Macaca fascicularis: one gene and its partners. The protein of the gene in region 2 interacts with the protein of the main gene of each other region in a biochemical or structural test. Links are inferred from orthologs where the notes say so. Each region holds a gene or a part of one and is shown on either strand. Other genes may lie near its edges.

Region 1 (3,712 bases), on a different chromosome or scaffold from region 2:
GATTATGCTCTTTGAATCCTAAACTTGCAGTGTTCTGCAGCTTTTGTTTTCTAAGCCTAGGTGTACTCTGCCAGTCAATAAATGGCGTTTCTCCAGCACTGCCGCCAGGTACCACCAGCTGGGAATTGTTGCTCTTGCGGAGCAGGAGGTGGACTTGGCCCAAGAGAAACTGGATGGTAGTCCGCAAGGAACATAATTTAGCACTGCCAAGCGCTAATGCAATCATTTTAAAAGTCTCAAAACACTAAAAAGTGGATTGTGACCTTTTTAAATTCACAGGAGACAGGCCACTTTCTATCTTTTGATTGGTTTAGGCTATTTTCTTGAACAGCCATTTAGAAAGCAGATCTATCATCCTTTATTTGCATGGAGCGTTCCCATTTTATTTGAAGCCAGTTTAACCCAATGGAAACAAGGGAGGCAGAACCCATTATTTAAAGTGGAAGCTCCTGAATCAGATAATTCGGAGTATTTCCTTTTTAAAAGTTGCGTTTTTTTCAGATACCTCGCTTATTACATTAAGAAAGGTTTATATCTTTCATAAAGGGTTTACTTACAAAAACCTTCCAATTTTATATACCTGTGTTTCATAACTGACTAGCCGTCAAACCAAGATGTATAGTTTCCAAATGTTATTTTCCAAATTTTAAGAAATTACGTGAAATATTTGAATGCGTGGCTTCTCAATAAAATAGACGTAGGAAACACTGGTAAAGAAGATGGGTACAATAGTTATCTGGGACTACTACAATTATTTGGTTGACACGTTGTTTGAAGAAAAAGGGAAAAAGCTCAGGTTACTTAGCACAGTTCGGACTTATTTAAAAACTACAACAGCACGAACGGAAATAGACCGCATTCCCTCACTCTCCGCTGTGTTAAGGGGTTATCCAGAATAGGATTGTAGAAGTGGATGTCGATTTAATAGTTTTTTTGTTCTCCCGTTAGCTGAGTCTCTGATTGGCAATGTGAGATCGTTTTAGCTTATTGATAATTTGAAATGCTCTTAACAGCCACAAACAAGCTAAAGAGAGGTTACCATAAAATCTTATCCCCAGGGTGTGCTTACACTTACCGTTTGTTTTCACACTAAGGAGACTTAACTCCCCAGCAGAATGCCTGTCGGGGAACCAGTTTCTTGGACCCAGCATTTAACGCCTTTCGCAGGTTTGTGAGGCCCATAAATCTTTGTTGAATAAAACAATGAGTTCACCATGTCATGGTGCGCTCATTGCATGTGCTGACATGGAACACAGGTTGTAAACCTTAACACCCATTTGGGGCATGTTGTATGGATGAAAAGGGCATTGGAAATTCCTGAAGTGCATCCCACATTGGACTGTGGAAGTAAGTTGCAAGTGCAGAAACGTTTCCACACTTGCAGTTTGAGTATTAATTGCAGCGTTAGTGAATTCTGGTGTTGTCTACGATTCATTCTTCTTTGACGTGAAAGGTATTCGCGAGACACATCGCTCTAAAACATTGCCAGAAAATGTAATCGAGTTGATGACTACTAGCCCTAACACGGCCTAAAACCCGCACTTTCCTCTTCCTCCCCAACTATTCAAACACTGTATTTTACATTTCTTGCAAATTAAAAACTAACATATCTGGCAACGGACCTCTAAAACTTTCTAATAAAACTCCCTGGATGCTTGTGGGGCTGCATTTGCAAACCGCTCCCCATCAACCTACTCCCTAAAACAGAGCTGCTTTTTGAGAGACAAGCGGCACCCTCTGATGTTACTAGGTGGCAGTCGGCCTACAATTTCCTTCACAATGAGGCAATCGGAGCGGCTTTTTCGGTGTGTTTGCTTGCGTTGAGGGGAGCGGGACCATAGGCCCTAGAGGCCCCCAGGTGCTCTCTGAGACTGGGGGAAACCCTCTGCAGAGCGCAGGGGGCGCTAGGGTGCGAGGGGCGGGCACTGACGGGCACCAATCACTGCGCAGTCCCACCCTATAAATAGGCTGAGTCGGGGCCTTTTTTTTCTCGCATCCTGCTTGGTCAGGTTTATACCAGTTTACTTGGTGTGCTGTATTAGTCACCATGTCCGAAACGGCGCCTCCCGCTCCCGCCGCTTCTGCTGCTCCTGAGAAACCTTCAGCTAGCAGGAAGGCAAAGAAACCTGCTAAGGTTGCGGTGGCCACTAAGAAAAAGCCTGCTGGCCCTTCCGTGTCAGAGCTGATCGTGCAGGCTGCTTCCTCCTCTAAGGAGCGTGGTGGTGTGTCATTGGCTGCTCTTAAAAAGGCGCTGGCGGCCGCAGGCTACGATGTGGAGAAGAACAACAGCCGCATTAAGCTGGGTATTAAGAGCCTGGTAAGCAAGGGAACGTTGGTGCAGACGAAGGGCACCGGCGCCTCGGGTTCCTTCAAACTCAACAAGAAGGCATCCTCCGTGGAAACCAAGCCCGGCGCTTCAAGGGTGGCTGCAAAAACCAAGGCAACGGGTGCGTCTAAAAAGCCCAAAAAGGCCACGGGGGTTAGCAAAAAGAACGTCAAGACTCCAAAAAATGCTAAAAAGTCTGCGGCAACAAGGAAATCCTCTAAGAGTCCCAAAAAACCCAAAGCTGTAAAACCCAAGAAAGTAGCTAAAAGCCCTGCTAAAACTAAGGCTATAAAACCCAAGGCGGCCAAGGCTAAGGTGACGAAGCCAAAGACTGCCAAACCCAAGAAAGCGGCACCCAAGAAAAAGTAAATTCGGTTGGAAACTTCTACTAACCCAACGGCTCTTTTAAGAGCCACCTACACACTTCGGGAAAAGAGCTGTAGTACACAGATGAAATTCCCCCAAGCAAATGCAATACGCCCTCATTTATATTAGAATCACTTGGAGAGTCAATAGGAACTTTAACATAGGTTGAGTAGTAAATTCTTGCCAGATGAGGCTATCAAAGATAGCAAGGTGAATTCAAATGCACCGAGTTAAAGTCGAATTTTAGATCACCTGTTTTGCTTTTTTTTTTTTTTTTAAGTAGCCCGAAGTCCCGCATCTCACGACCCCAAGCTAATTAGTCATAACTGTAACGAACCAAGGTTGAAGCCTAGTCCCAGGCTTGAGGCTTTTTTATTATACAAGGTTAAAGTGCGGACATTGCGTTCTTGGGTCAATATTGCTAAAGTAGCCTTTTCCGAAATTGGGTGGTCCTAAGAAATGCTTCTGGGATAGTAAGCAAAATTCATGGCTTAATCACGCCCTCTCGGCAGCAGTGGCTAGAGAGGTGTCTGTCCTTGGGAATGACGGTGACCCTTCTGGCGTGACTGGCGCCCACGTTGGCGTCCTCTGAAAGCCCCACCAGGTAGGCCTAGCTCGCTCGCTTTCTGCAGCGCCATCATGACAAAGCTTTGAAACGCAAAATGCTCTTGCTTTGCGCAGCGCTTTACCATGGGTGCACTTACAGGCTGTCGACTTGGTTTAGGCCCTCATCAGGACAAAGGAGCTTAGTTGCAATGGAGTTTTAGAGCTGCAACTCTAAAGCCCTTGCTCGGTTTCTCTGTTTTTAGAAACAGTAGCGACCTGATTGGATAATATTTGAAAATTACTATGCTTAACTGGATCGTGTTTCATCAATCGTGCAGGATTTTCAACCCTGGTGGAGCCCACACATTCAATACTGAAGATCCTTTTCTCAGAACTGCCCCTTTAAGCTTTTGCAATTTTAATTCTGGGGTTCAATTTTAATAACTGAACTTTTTTTTACATCTGACAAAAAGA
Region 2 (4,879 bases):
TGAGATGTGTTGTAAATGTAAAATACATACTTGGTTTCAAAGATTTAGTACAAGGCTGGGCATGGTTGCTCACGTTTGTAATTCCAGCACTTTGGGAGACCAGGGAGGGCAGATCACCTGAGGTCAGGAGTTCAAGACAAGCCTGGCCAACATGGTGAAACCCCATCTCTACTAAAAATACAAAAATTGGCCGGGCATGGTGGCACATGCCTGTAGTTCCCAACCACTCGGGAGGCTGAGTTGGGAGAATCACTTGAATCCGTGAGGCAGAGGTTGCAGTCAAGATCATGCCACTGCACTCCAGCCTGGGAAACAGAGTGTGAGCCTGTCTCAAAAAAAAAAAAAAAAAAAAGGCCGGGCACAGTGGCTCACACCTGTAATCCCAGCACTTTGGGAGGCCGAGGCGGGTGGATCATGAGGTCAGGAGATCGAGAGCATCCTGGCCAACACGGTGAAACCCCGTCTCCACTAAAAACAAAAAAAATCAGCCGGGCATGGTGGCAGGCGCCTGTAGTCCCAGCTACTCAAGAGACTGAGGCAGGAGAATGGTGTGAACCTGGGAGGCGGAGCTTGCAGTGAGCCGAGATGGAGCCACTACACTCCTGCCTGGGCGACAGAGTGAGACTCCTCAAAAAAAAAAAAAAAAAAAGACAATACAGAACAAAGAATGTAATGTAAAAGGTCTCCATAACTCTTCGTGATGCTGAATGCCTGTTGCAGTTATTATAACACTTTGGATATATGGGTAAAATAAAATATATTTCCAAAATTAATCTCACTGGATTCCACTTGCTTTTCTTAAAAAAAAATACAACTACTAGAAAATTTAAAAGCACATATATGTGTGCTTTTATAACCTCATATTTGCAGGTTGCTTTATATTTCTATTGGACACATTGCTTTAGACCTTCCAATAATTCTTCTCAGCAGCCATCTTAATCCTGAGCTGCTAATCTTTAGTCTGCCCATGAAAATCCTAAATGAATAACAAAGTTTTTTTTTTTTTTTTTTTTTTTTTGAGATGGAGTTTCACTCTCCGCTGCCCAGGCTGGAGTGCAGTGGTGTGATCTCAGTTCACTGCAACCTCTGCCTCCCGGGTTCAAGCGATCTTCCTGTCTCAGCCTCCCAAGCAGCTAGGATTACAGGCATGTGCCACCACGCCCAGTTAATTTTGTGTTTTTAGTGGAGATGGGGTTTTACCACATTGGTCAGGCTGGTCTCAAACTCCTGATCTCAGGAGATCCACCTACCTCAGCCTCCCAAAGTGCTGGGATTACAGGTGTGAGCCACTGCGCCCAGCCCTAAGTGAATAACGTTCTAAGGACACGTTTTCTGGTTCCCTTTTCTTAAAAGCAAGAAAGTAGAACAGGACAAGGTCTAGATGAGAGCTCTTTCTGTCAATTCAGAGTCTAGTTTATTCTTGCCAGATTGCGGCACCAACTGCAATACCAATAAAACATGGACACAATTCCCGGAAAGGAAGGGACCCAGGCCAAAGACAACTGGGAAGGTAAATTAGCAACATAAAAAACAAAACAAACCAAAACAAAAAGACACTCCAACACACGCCAAACCCTACAGAATAACTTCTGAAATTTATTCATAAATTTACATGACTTCCCTTATAGAATTTCATGACTTCCCTTAAAGAATTTCTTTAGTCCTTGTCTTCCCTTAGGGACAAGGTCACAAGAAATCTTTCTGAAGTGTAAGCTGCCTGAATCATCTTTCTAATCCACATTAACCATATCCTTTCCAGTAGTGCAGTGTCACTAATTGTGATTACGTGTTTGTGTGTGTGTGGGTGTGGAAATTAACAATGAACACTGAGATTTATTTTCAAATATCCCTTCATTTGCTATAGATAGTTGAGTGACACATGGAACTTGCAGAGTATCCTGCTACCTTGCCCCAAAGTCCAATAAAGCCTTGGTACAACCCTATTTGTTGGTAGGTGAAACCATTTACTCTTCTCACACACATACACATACACTCACAGTGAGATAGAGGTCCCCAACCCCTAGACCATTACCAGTCCGTGGCCTGTACATAGGGGCAGGAGGTGAACGGCAGGGAAGTGAGCATTACCGCCTGAGCTCTGCCTCCTGTCAGATCAGTGGTGGCACCAGACTCTGACAGGAGTGCAAATCCTATTGTGAACTGTGCATGCAAGGGATCTAGGTTGCATGCTCCTTATGAGAATCTAACTAATGCCTGATGATCTGAGATGGAACAGTTTCATCCCAAAACCATACCCCCAGTCTGGCCCGTGGAAAAATTGTCTTCCATGATACCAGTCCCTGGTGCCAAAACGGTTGGGGACCGTTGGAGTGAGAGGACTATTCCCAGAAAGTCCTTAACTCCACTTTGAACCTCCTCTGGACATGGCACAGAGAGATCTTCCCAAGCTCTGCAGGCCTTAGTGAGAAGCTCCACATTCTGCTTTTCTTCTAAGACCTTGGGTTACCCTTACCTTGACTTGCTCGTTGGAGGTTACAGCACAGAAGACAATCTCTGTGAATCCTTGAGATGGGAACATACGGAAACAGATACCACCAATAACACGGCCATCTTTAATTAAAGCAAGGGTTTTGTGTTTCCTGAAAGAATAAGATTATGTCAAAGTTTTACCTACCCTAGTTATACAAATATACTTTTTGGGGTGTTCCTTATTAACCAACTAAGAAAGAGGGACATGTCCTAAGTTTCTATAGAAACTTCCTTCATGTAACCCCTATCTCACTAGACTACCCTTTTATCTGAACTTTTTAGAGCAAGCTTGACTGCATAAGACGTCATCAGCACTCCCATCAGAACAAAGTACCAGTCACCTAAGAAGTGCCTGAGGTTTAAAATAGAGAACAGTGTATGTGCGGAGGTGCTCTGGAACTGGCACACCCAGTGCCAAGGAGGGGTCAGGGGAGAGCAGGAAGTCATGGACAAACATGATATGTGTCTCTGAAGAGTTAAGTCTTACTCCAAAATATTACAGAAACATTATGAAAAAGAATTTAAAATCTACATATACAATTTGTGAAACTTTGCATTATGGAATCCTTCCCTCTGTCTAAAGCATCACTCTGAATTGTCACAGGCATGGATCACAGTCCCCAGAGGCTACTGGGCTATATATGTTAAAATAAATTCAATTAGGGAAGTTTAGTTCTTTGGGGTTTTGTGGGGGTTTTTTTTGTTTTGTTTTGTTTTTTAAAGCAATGGATTTTCAAAGTTAACCCATCTTATATCCCAATAATTGCCCACAGACCTGGGCACCTAGTTAAGATACCAAAACCAATATTTTGACTACGAAAAAAGTAGAACATCTTAGTGTTACATTCTCTCACTGCTATAAAGAATGAAGCACAGGATAGTCAACAGCGATGTAAAATACAAAGTTTCATTATCATTAACAAGAAAATTTGTATATTGTTTAAAATTAATCTTAGCACTTTCAGACATGAAAATTAGCTTGGTGTAGCTCTGTATCCACAGCAAGACAGGAGCAGTGGTATTCGGTGGATGACTATGGCTGACTTTCACTATCTAAGTAGTTCCTCTTTCATTTAAAAAGGAAATAAGGAAGAAGGAACAGAAAGTACCACTTACGGGTCAAAGACGAGCCGTGTGATGTACTCTTTTGGCATTCGGGGCAGCTGGTGGGAGAAAACGTTCTGTAGGCCAACCAGCCACATGAGGATCTTCTTGTTTGGTTTCTGGTTGAGGGAATTGCCAACGACGTGAAATTCAATTACACCCCTGCGCTCTTCCAACCTTGCCGCCTCATCCCTAGCCGAGTGTGCCGACAGAAAATTGGTCTGAGATGCAAGAGACAGGAAAAAATTACACAGAGCTATTCTCTCAAGACAGTGGGGATGGGACACATCCAAGCTTCTCATTTTTGTTCTAAGAAGATACACATTTGTGGATTTTCAGAGTCCTAAATTCACACATGTGTGCACACATACACACAGAGACACATACACATACAAGTTATGAAGACAAGACAGAAAAGGCAGGTAAAGCATTTTGAGAAATTGGAGTATTGTATGTGTACACGGATGATATTCAGTGTAGATTAGGGGCCAGCAAAATTTTCTGTGAAGGGCCAGATAGAAAATATTTTAGACATTGTGAGCCATAAGGTCTTTGTCACAACTACTCCTTCTTCTGCTGTAATGCAAAAGCATCCACAGACAATATGTTAAAGAATGGGTGCAGTACTGTTCCAATAAAACTTTGTTTAAAAATACAGTAAGCAGACAAAATGTGGCCTGTGGGTTATTGTTCGCCAACCTCTGGCTTAAAGGAATCCTCTCCAGCTGAGCTTTAAGGACCCTTGAGATGACAGATTCAAATTCTCATTACAGGCCCAATAGTAGCACTCATGAATATACTTTTAACACCTCTTTTTAAAGAACAGGGTTTTTTCCAGAGAATATCTGTTGACTTACACTCAACCATAGCTGGAAGCACAACCACGTGCCAGCACTTATGCTCCCTATCTTATTTAATCTGCCCAGTGGTTTGCAAGCAAATACTCCACAAACAGCTCTTCAGGTAAGGAAGGCCCTAAATGGTGACACTTCATCTCATTAGTCCAGAACTGGCTATCCAGGTACCAGGTGCCATGGTGGTCAATTTCAAGCTACCAACATATGGAACAACCAGCTCACAAAATTCCTAAAAATTTAACAATTTTCTTTGCATTCCAGTACAAGCCAGCTCCAGTATACTACTAAATATTAATATATCAAAAATATTTTGAAACACGTGATTCATCCTGATGTAGTTTGAATGTGTGCCCCCTCCAAATTCATGCTGAAATGCAATCTCCAATGCTGGAGGTGGGGCCTAGTGGGAAGTGTTGGATCATCACGGC
Region 3 (5,365 bases), on a different chromosome or scaffold from region 2:
TAGGCCTGGGGAGTTGATGGCGGTGCCAGGGGAGGGTGCAGAAGGGGCCTGGTCCCAACACCACCCACACCTCTCTCAGGGCCGTAGCCCCAACTCCTCCCCATCCAAACCAACTGGGCTTCCCTCAGGGCCATCCTCACTCTTCCTTCAACGCACATAAGAACTGGCACCGCCTGGCCACCCAGAGAGACAACTCAAGGTTAATGTTTGGCTTGACAAAAGGCCACCCAAGAGATTTCTGACTTTACAGGAAAAAACTGAACGTTTCCTCGTGGGAGATACCACATGGAGTGTGTGGCTGGACGGGCTTCTGGAAGGGACGGTCAGTGATGCAGGTGGCATCTTGTGGGTTACCCCCACCCAGTGTGGGGGAGAGTAGTGGGCCCTGGCCACTGCAGCCGACAATGGAGGACCTGGGGGGCCAGACACTCCCAGCACAGAGCTCCTACCCACAACTACCAAAATCCAGCGACCACCAGAGGACCCCGGTACTCTGACCAGCGTTCCCTCAGGCGATGCAGTTCAACCACAGAACCCGGAGGACACCACCTGCTGCCTCCACCACCTCCTGGCCACCCCTGGGCCCTGAGCCAGGCCTGCACCGTCAGCACCACCCGTACGGAGCCCTCTCCAGCCCTGAGTGGAGGGGAAAACAAGAAGTCCTTCTGGAAGGAGAGTCACTCGGGTAAACACCTCACAGGGCACACGCCTTTGACTTGGGCACTGCGTGGGGAGCGCCAGGGCACAGCCAGGCACAGAACGCTGCCTGAAGGGTTCTCAGCAACACTAGTGGTACCAGCCGTACGCCTCTTGGCTCAGGGACGCCACCATCAGCTCAGACCAGGTCACACTCTGGGGGCAGTGGCCACAGGAAGTTGAAAGGGCTAGTTACAGTCAGAGGAGAAAAACTGCCAGGCGAGCCAGGTGTGGCTGAACAGCCACCTCTGAGCTCCAAAGGAAGAGACTAGGCCTCTCGAGCCTGGGACCCGTTTCCTGCAGAGCGTGACTACTTCTGTCCAGGGTTCCTCCAGAAAAAACTTATTAACAGAGTGACTGTTAACAGTGGCTGTCTGCTGGATAATGGAACCTTACACTACAAACGTCCAAAGAGTGGGGGGCTCCCAGCCCTTGGAGGAGGCAGACAGGACCAGCCAGCACCTCCAATCTCCCCAGGATGTGGCTGGGGTCGGTTCTGCGCCAAGCCCACAGGACTGGGCCAAGGCCCATCCCACTCAGCAGACGGACAGGACCAGCCCACAGTCCCGTGCACCCGGGGCCAAACCTCCCCTCCCCCACTGCCATGTTCTCAGGTTAATGACAAGTGTGCAAAAGGGAAGATCCTACTCACTGACATTCCCAACCACATGTCCACCTCTCAGAACTAACAGCTGCCCTGGTCAAGGCTGACAGGACGAAGTACATGCTGCGGACATGGCAGACACCTCAAAAACGGCCAGGCAGGTGGACAAGGCACCCCGGGCAGTGAGCAGATGCAGCCCCCACTGCATGTCCCTCCCAGAGTTCTGCAGAGGACGCCAGCATGGAAGCAGGTGCTCAAAGATGGGCGACAGAATCACAGAGGGCAAAACGCGTCTGCAGAGCTGACAGTGCCAACCAGGAGCCAAACCCAGACCCCAGAGGGAGGTGGCCAGGCCTGGGCGGGCAGGGGAGACCTGGTGCTGAGGCCCAGGGCAGAGCCACGCCCTACAAAGTTCCAGGACACAGAACGAGAGACCCCCAAACCGCAGCTGTCATCCTCAGCTGCAACGGCAAATAGTTACCCCACGGTGCTGCCCCAACCCTGCCCCAAGCCGCAGACGGGTACACAGACGCGCACAGGCCATGCGCTAGGAGCTCAGCGAGGACGCCCGCGGCGCGGGCCCAGCCACCAGCGCCGTTTTCTTCCCGACGGACTTGTGCTCCCTGCCGAGCTCCTACAGAAACGGTGGAGAGGACTTGGCTGGGGGTGCTCGGGCTCCACGGAGCACCCTGCGCACCCGCCGCCTCGGCCCTGGCTCCGGGCCCTCTAGCCCCAACTCTCAGGGTTTCACCTCCCCACTCAGGGCACCGGGAAGGGCGCGACCGCCTTCCCTTTTCCCCACTGGAAGGGAATTCTGTCCCGGCAATCGCGGAGACTACAGCAAAAGGGCTCTGGCCCCGGCCGGGCTTCTGGACACCGATGCCCTTGGAGGCCGCCAGAGAACGCTCCAGCTTTGGCCCGGGGATCAAGCGCGCGGGCTCTGCCTTTGCAGCCGTGTCGAGGGAGAGAGAGGCTCCGCGGAGCGGCCCGGGCCGGCCCAGGATGCGGGCGCTGCAAGATGGCGATGGCCGTGCGCCCGGCGTCCGCCCGTGCTCCCTGCTTCCGGGGCCGCAGCCGGCGAGGAAGGCGCCCCGGGACCCGGGCCGGCACAGGCAGAGGCAGGTGGAGGCGCCGGGCCGGGCCGGGCCCTCGCGGAGTTCGCGGGAGCGGAGACCCCCGGGGACCGCCCGCGTCACCGCCGGGGGCTGCGCTTTGGGCCCGGTCTGAGGGCGGCGGCCTCCTCCACGGTCAGACCCGGCGCCCAGGCCCCGTCCCCTTCCCCCACAGCGCGCGGCCGCGGTCGCCGGCAGCCTCAGGGCGGGAGGGGGCGCGCTCCCGCGAGTGGCCCGGGAGCGCGCTCCCCAGGACACCCGTAGCTGCGCACGGCGCAGCTCCCACCCCGGTCCCGCAGGCCCAGCCGCGGGGTCGTGACCGGGGACGGGGTAGCGGCCGGGGATCGGGACTCGGGACTCGGGGTGCCGTCCCGGGTCCCATGGGGCTGGGGTCGGTGGAGCAGCCTGGAGGCCCACGGGCCCCTTTGTGTCACCTGCGCGGGCCGCGGGCGGGGAGTGCACACGGCGGCGCTCGCTCACACGCAGCGGCCCGCGCATGCGCACGACCCTTGCCGCGGTCCCGCCCCCGACCGCGGCCACGCGCGGACGACGGCGCGCACGCGCACTCGCACACAAAGCCGGCGGCCCGCGGGCGCGCGCTCGGCCCGCCCCCGCGCCCCCCGCCCGCGCGGCCCCCGCCCCGCCCCGCCCCCGCCCGCGGCCGGAAACGCGCGCGCGCGCGGCCTTACCGAGCGGCAGGCCCTTGTTGAGCAAGTGCGAGCTGCCCATCGAGAGGCGCGAGCGGCCGCGGGCCCCGACCACTCCGGCGCGCTGCGCCGCCGCGAGTCCGGCGCGTGGGGCGGCCTCGGTGCCGTCCGCTGCTCCGCCCGCTCGCCTGCGCCTGGCCGCCGCCGTGCCGAGCCTCCGCCGCGCCGCTGAGCCGCGCTCCGACGACCGCGCGGGCGGGGACACGGCGGCGCGCGCGGGCGGGGCCTCGCGGTTGGTCTCCTGGTTCCCGGCGCGGGCGGCGCACGGACTCACGCGGGCGGCTCAGGGCCCGCCCGGCCGGGCGCGGCTGCGGGGCGGGGCGGGAGCCTGGCGGGAAGCTCACGGGGCCTGCAGCCCGGCGGAGGCCCGAGGCCCGGTGTTCCGCACGTTCTAAACCGCCTGTCCCGGAGGAAGGCGGGCAGGGTCGGGCCGGGCTCAGCACCGCTGGCAGGAGCGCCGCCCGCCCCGAGGCCCCCTGCGGGACGGCGCCGGGCCCGGAAGCCGAGGCAGGGTCGCCCACGTCAGCGCCCGGAACGGACCCGAACGTAAATGGCGCTCCTCCGCGCAGCGGCCGCCCCGCTCCCTTCCCGCCCCGCCAGCCGCCGCCCTCCCCCGCTCGCTTCTGGCCCCGCGGCCTGGCCCGTGCGCCTCCGAAGACTTGTCCTTGCGGTGCCGCTGTCCCCGGGGCTGGCCAGGGGCACCGAGGCCGCGGGTTCCCCCCATCGCCCCCACCCGAGCCCTGATTTACCGTCCAAGAGCCGGCCGCACATGGGGCCCCGGGAGGAGAAGCGCGCCCGCCCCAGTTCGTCCCCAGCCGGGGGGGACCCCGACTCCGGGAGGGGCCGCGTTCTGCCCGGCCCAGCGCGCTGTTCCCGGCCCGGGAAGTTCAGGGCTGGAGAACCCCCTTCTCGACCCCGTTTCTCCTTTAACAAGAGTAGGGTTTGTAGCCAGCTCTGCTTCTGCCCGCTGCGGGAAACGCCCCGACCCGGGAGGGCCCGAAAGTCCCTTCAGGGAGAGGCCGCACCGGGCCTGCTCACCCAGGGGCTGCCCCTGCAGACTCTCCCGAGGGGCCCAGGGATATTCCTCGCGCCGCGAGTGGACGCTTCCATCCACCCCGTGGGGAGTTGTGGGAAGGGCCTCTGCGCGTGGCTACTCTGAGCACACTGGAATGATCAGATAGTTGCATAATTTGAGAAACCACAGCCTGGAGACGGAATGATGCAGACTCCTATCCGAGAGACACCTGCTCTAGTTTCGCTGTGGTTCGTGAGGACGCGTCCTAGGCTGCCCTGAGAAGCCCATGTCTGCCCTTCCAGGCCTGGGAAGACCTCTGACCCCACTGACAGTGCTGGGCCCTCAGTCGGGCCTGCCATGCGTACCACTTTCTGTTCTAAGACCGGGCTGCCCAGCTGTGGCCTGGAGGAAACCTGGCAGGTATCACCAGAGCTTTGGGGAGGGTGGGGCCCTGTCAGGGAAGCCCAGTGGGAGTCATGAAGGAGGGAACACGTGTGGAGCCCTTGTAGGGGGAGGGGCAGCCCTGCAGAGATCTAAGAAAATTCCAGAAAAATGAGCAGCAACCTCCAAGGCCAGACATCGGTGCAGGGGACAAGGGGTCACAGATGGAGGGGCCTAGGTGAGGCTGCTGGGAAGGGATGATGTGGTTGGTGGAGTGCACAGGCAGGGACCTCACTGGACTTTCCTATCTGCTCTGCATGGACAGGCAGCCCAGAAGGCAGCAGGGACATGCCACTCCCTTTTTCCCCAGGGAAGCTGGGGACAGACGGGTCCCAGGCACTCCATCCTCTGCAGCAAGTCAGGTTGTGATTTACTGGGCATTGGTGAATAAAATGGAGAGGCTTCTGGGGAGAAATTCCTGGCTCCCACGTGGACTGGCAGAGCTCAACAGGCAGCCACGTGGCTGAGTGTCCAGCAAACATCACATAAGGCTTTGGGTCCTGTAGGTGAGGCTGCCCTGAGCAGCAAGCTCAGTCCAGAAGAGCAGTTCCTCTCCAGGATCCATTTCCTGCGCACTTTTATGTCCAGTGTAGCTGGAGCAGAGCTCGCTGGAATTCCACAGGCAACTAAGAACGGAGAGGGATGCATGCCAGCCAGGGATCCATCGTCTTCCCCATCAGCACGCCCCATGGCCTCCGTCTGCACAGTGTCCCTCTGCACAACTTGTCAGTGCGTTATCACGACTCTTATTTGGCCCTGGCCCGTCCCACTGTCCTGGCTTGTTCCAAGT

The links.
Region 1: of the proteins of KAT2B (region 2) and H1-1, one has a biochemical effect on the other in vitro, tested with the Homo sapiens proteins (2 studies listed by BioGRID). The link is inferred for Macaca fascicularis from reciprocal best matches to the Homo sapiens genes KAT2B and H1-1.
Region 3: the proteins of KAT2B (region 2) and CTBP1 form a complex in vitro, tested with the Homo sapiens proteins (2 studies listed by BioGRID, with this or other methods). The link is inferred for Macaca fascicularis from reciprocal best matches to the Homo sapiens genes KAT2B and CTBP1.

Annotation. Positions count from the first base shown.
Region 1 is NC_088378.1:146,911,450-146,915,161, forward strand, and holds H1-1 (histone H1.1), read left to right. Parts: upstream 1-1,989; 5' UTR 1,990-2,047; coding exon 2,048-2,695; 3' UTR 2,696-2,696; downstream 2,697-3,712. UniProt on the Homo sapiens protein: Histone H1 protein binds to linker DNA between nucleosomes forming the macromolecular structure known as the chromatin fiber. Histones H1 are necessary for the condensation of nucleosome chains into higher-order structured fibers.
Region 2 is NC_088376.1:28,300,478-28,305,356, forward strand, and holds part of KAT2B (histone acetyltransferase KAT2B), read right to left. Parts: intron 3,816-4,879; coding exon 3,607-3,815; intron 2,601-3,606; coding exon 2,474-2,600; intron 1-2,473. UniProt on the Homo sapiens protein: Functions as a histone acetyltransferase (HAT) to promote transcriptional activation. Has significant histone acetyltransferase activity with core histones (H3 and H4), and also with nucleosome core particles.
Region 3 is NC_088379.1:1,342,828-1,348,192, forward strand, and holds the start of CTBP1 (C-terminal-binding protein 1), read right to left. Parts: upstream 3,317-5,365; 5' UTR 3,142-3,316; coding exon 3,102-3,141; intron 2,917-3,101; exon of another isoform or gene 1,782-2,916; intron 1-1,781. UniProt on the Homo sapiens protein: Corepressor targeting diverse transcription regulators such as GLIS2 or BCL6. Has dehydrogenase activity. Involved in controlling the equilibrium between tubular and stacked structures in the Golgi complex.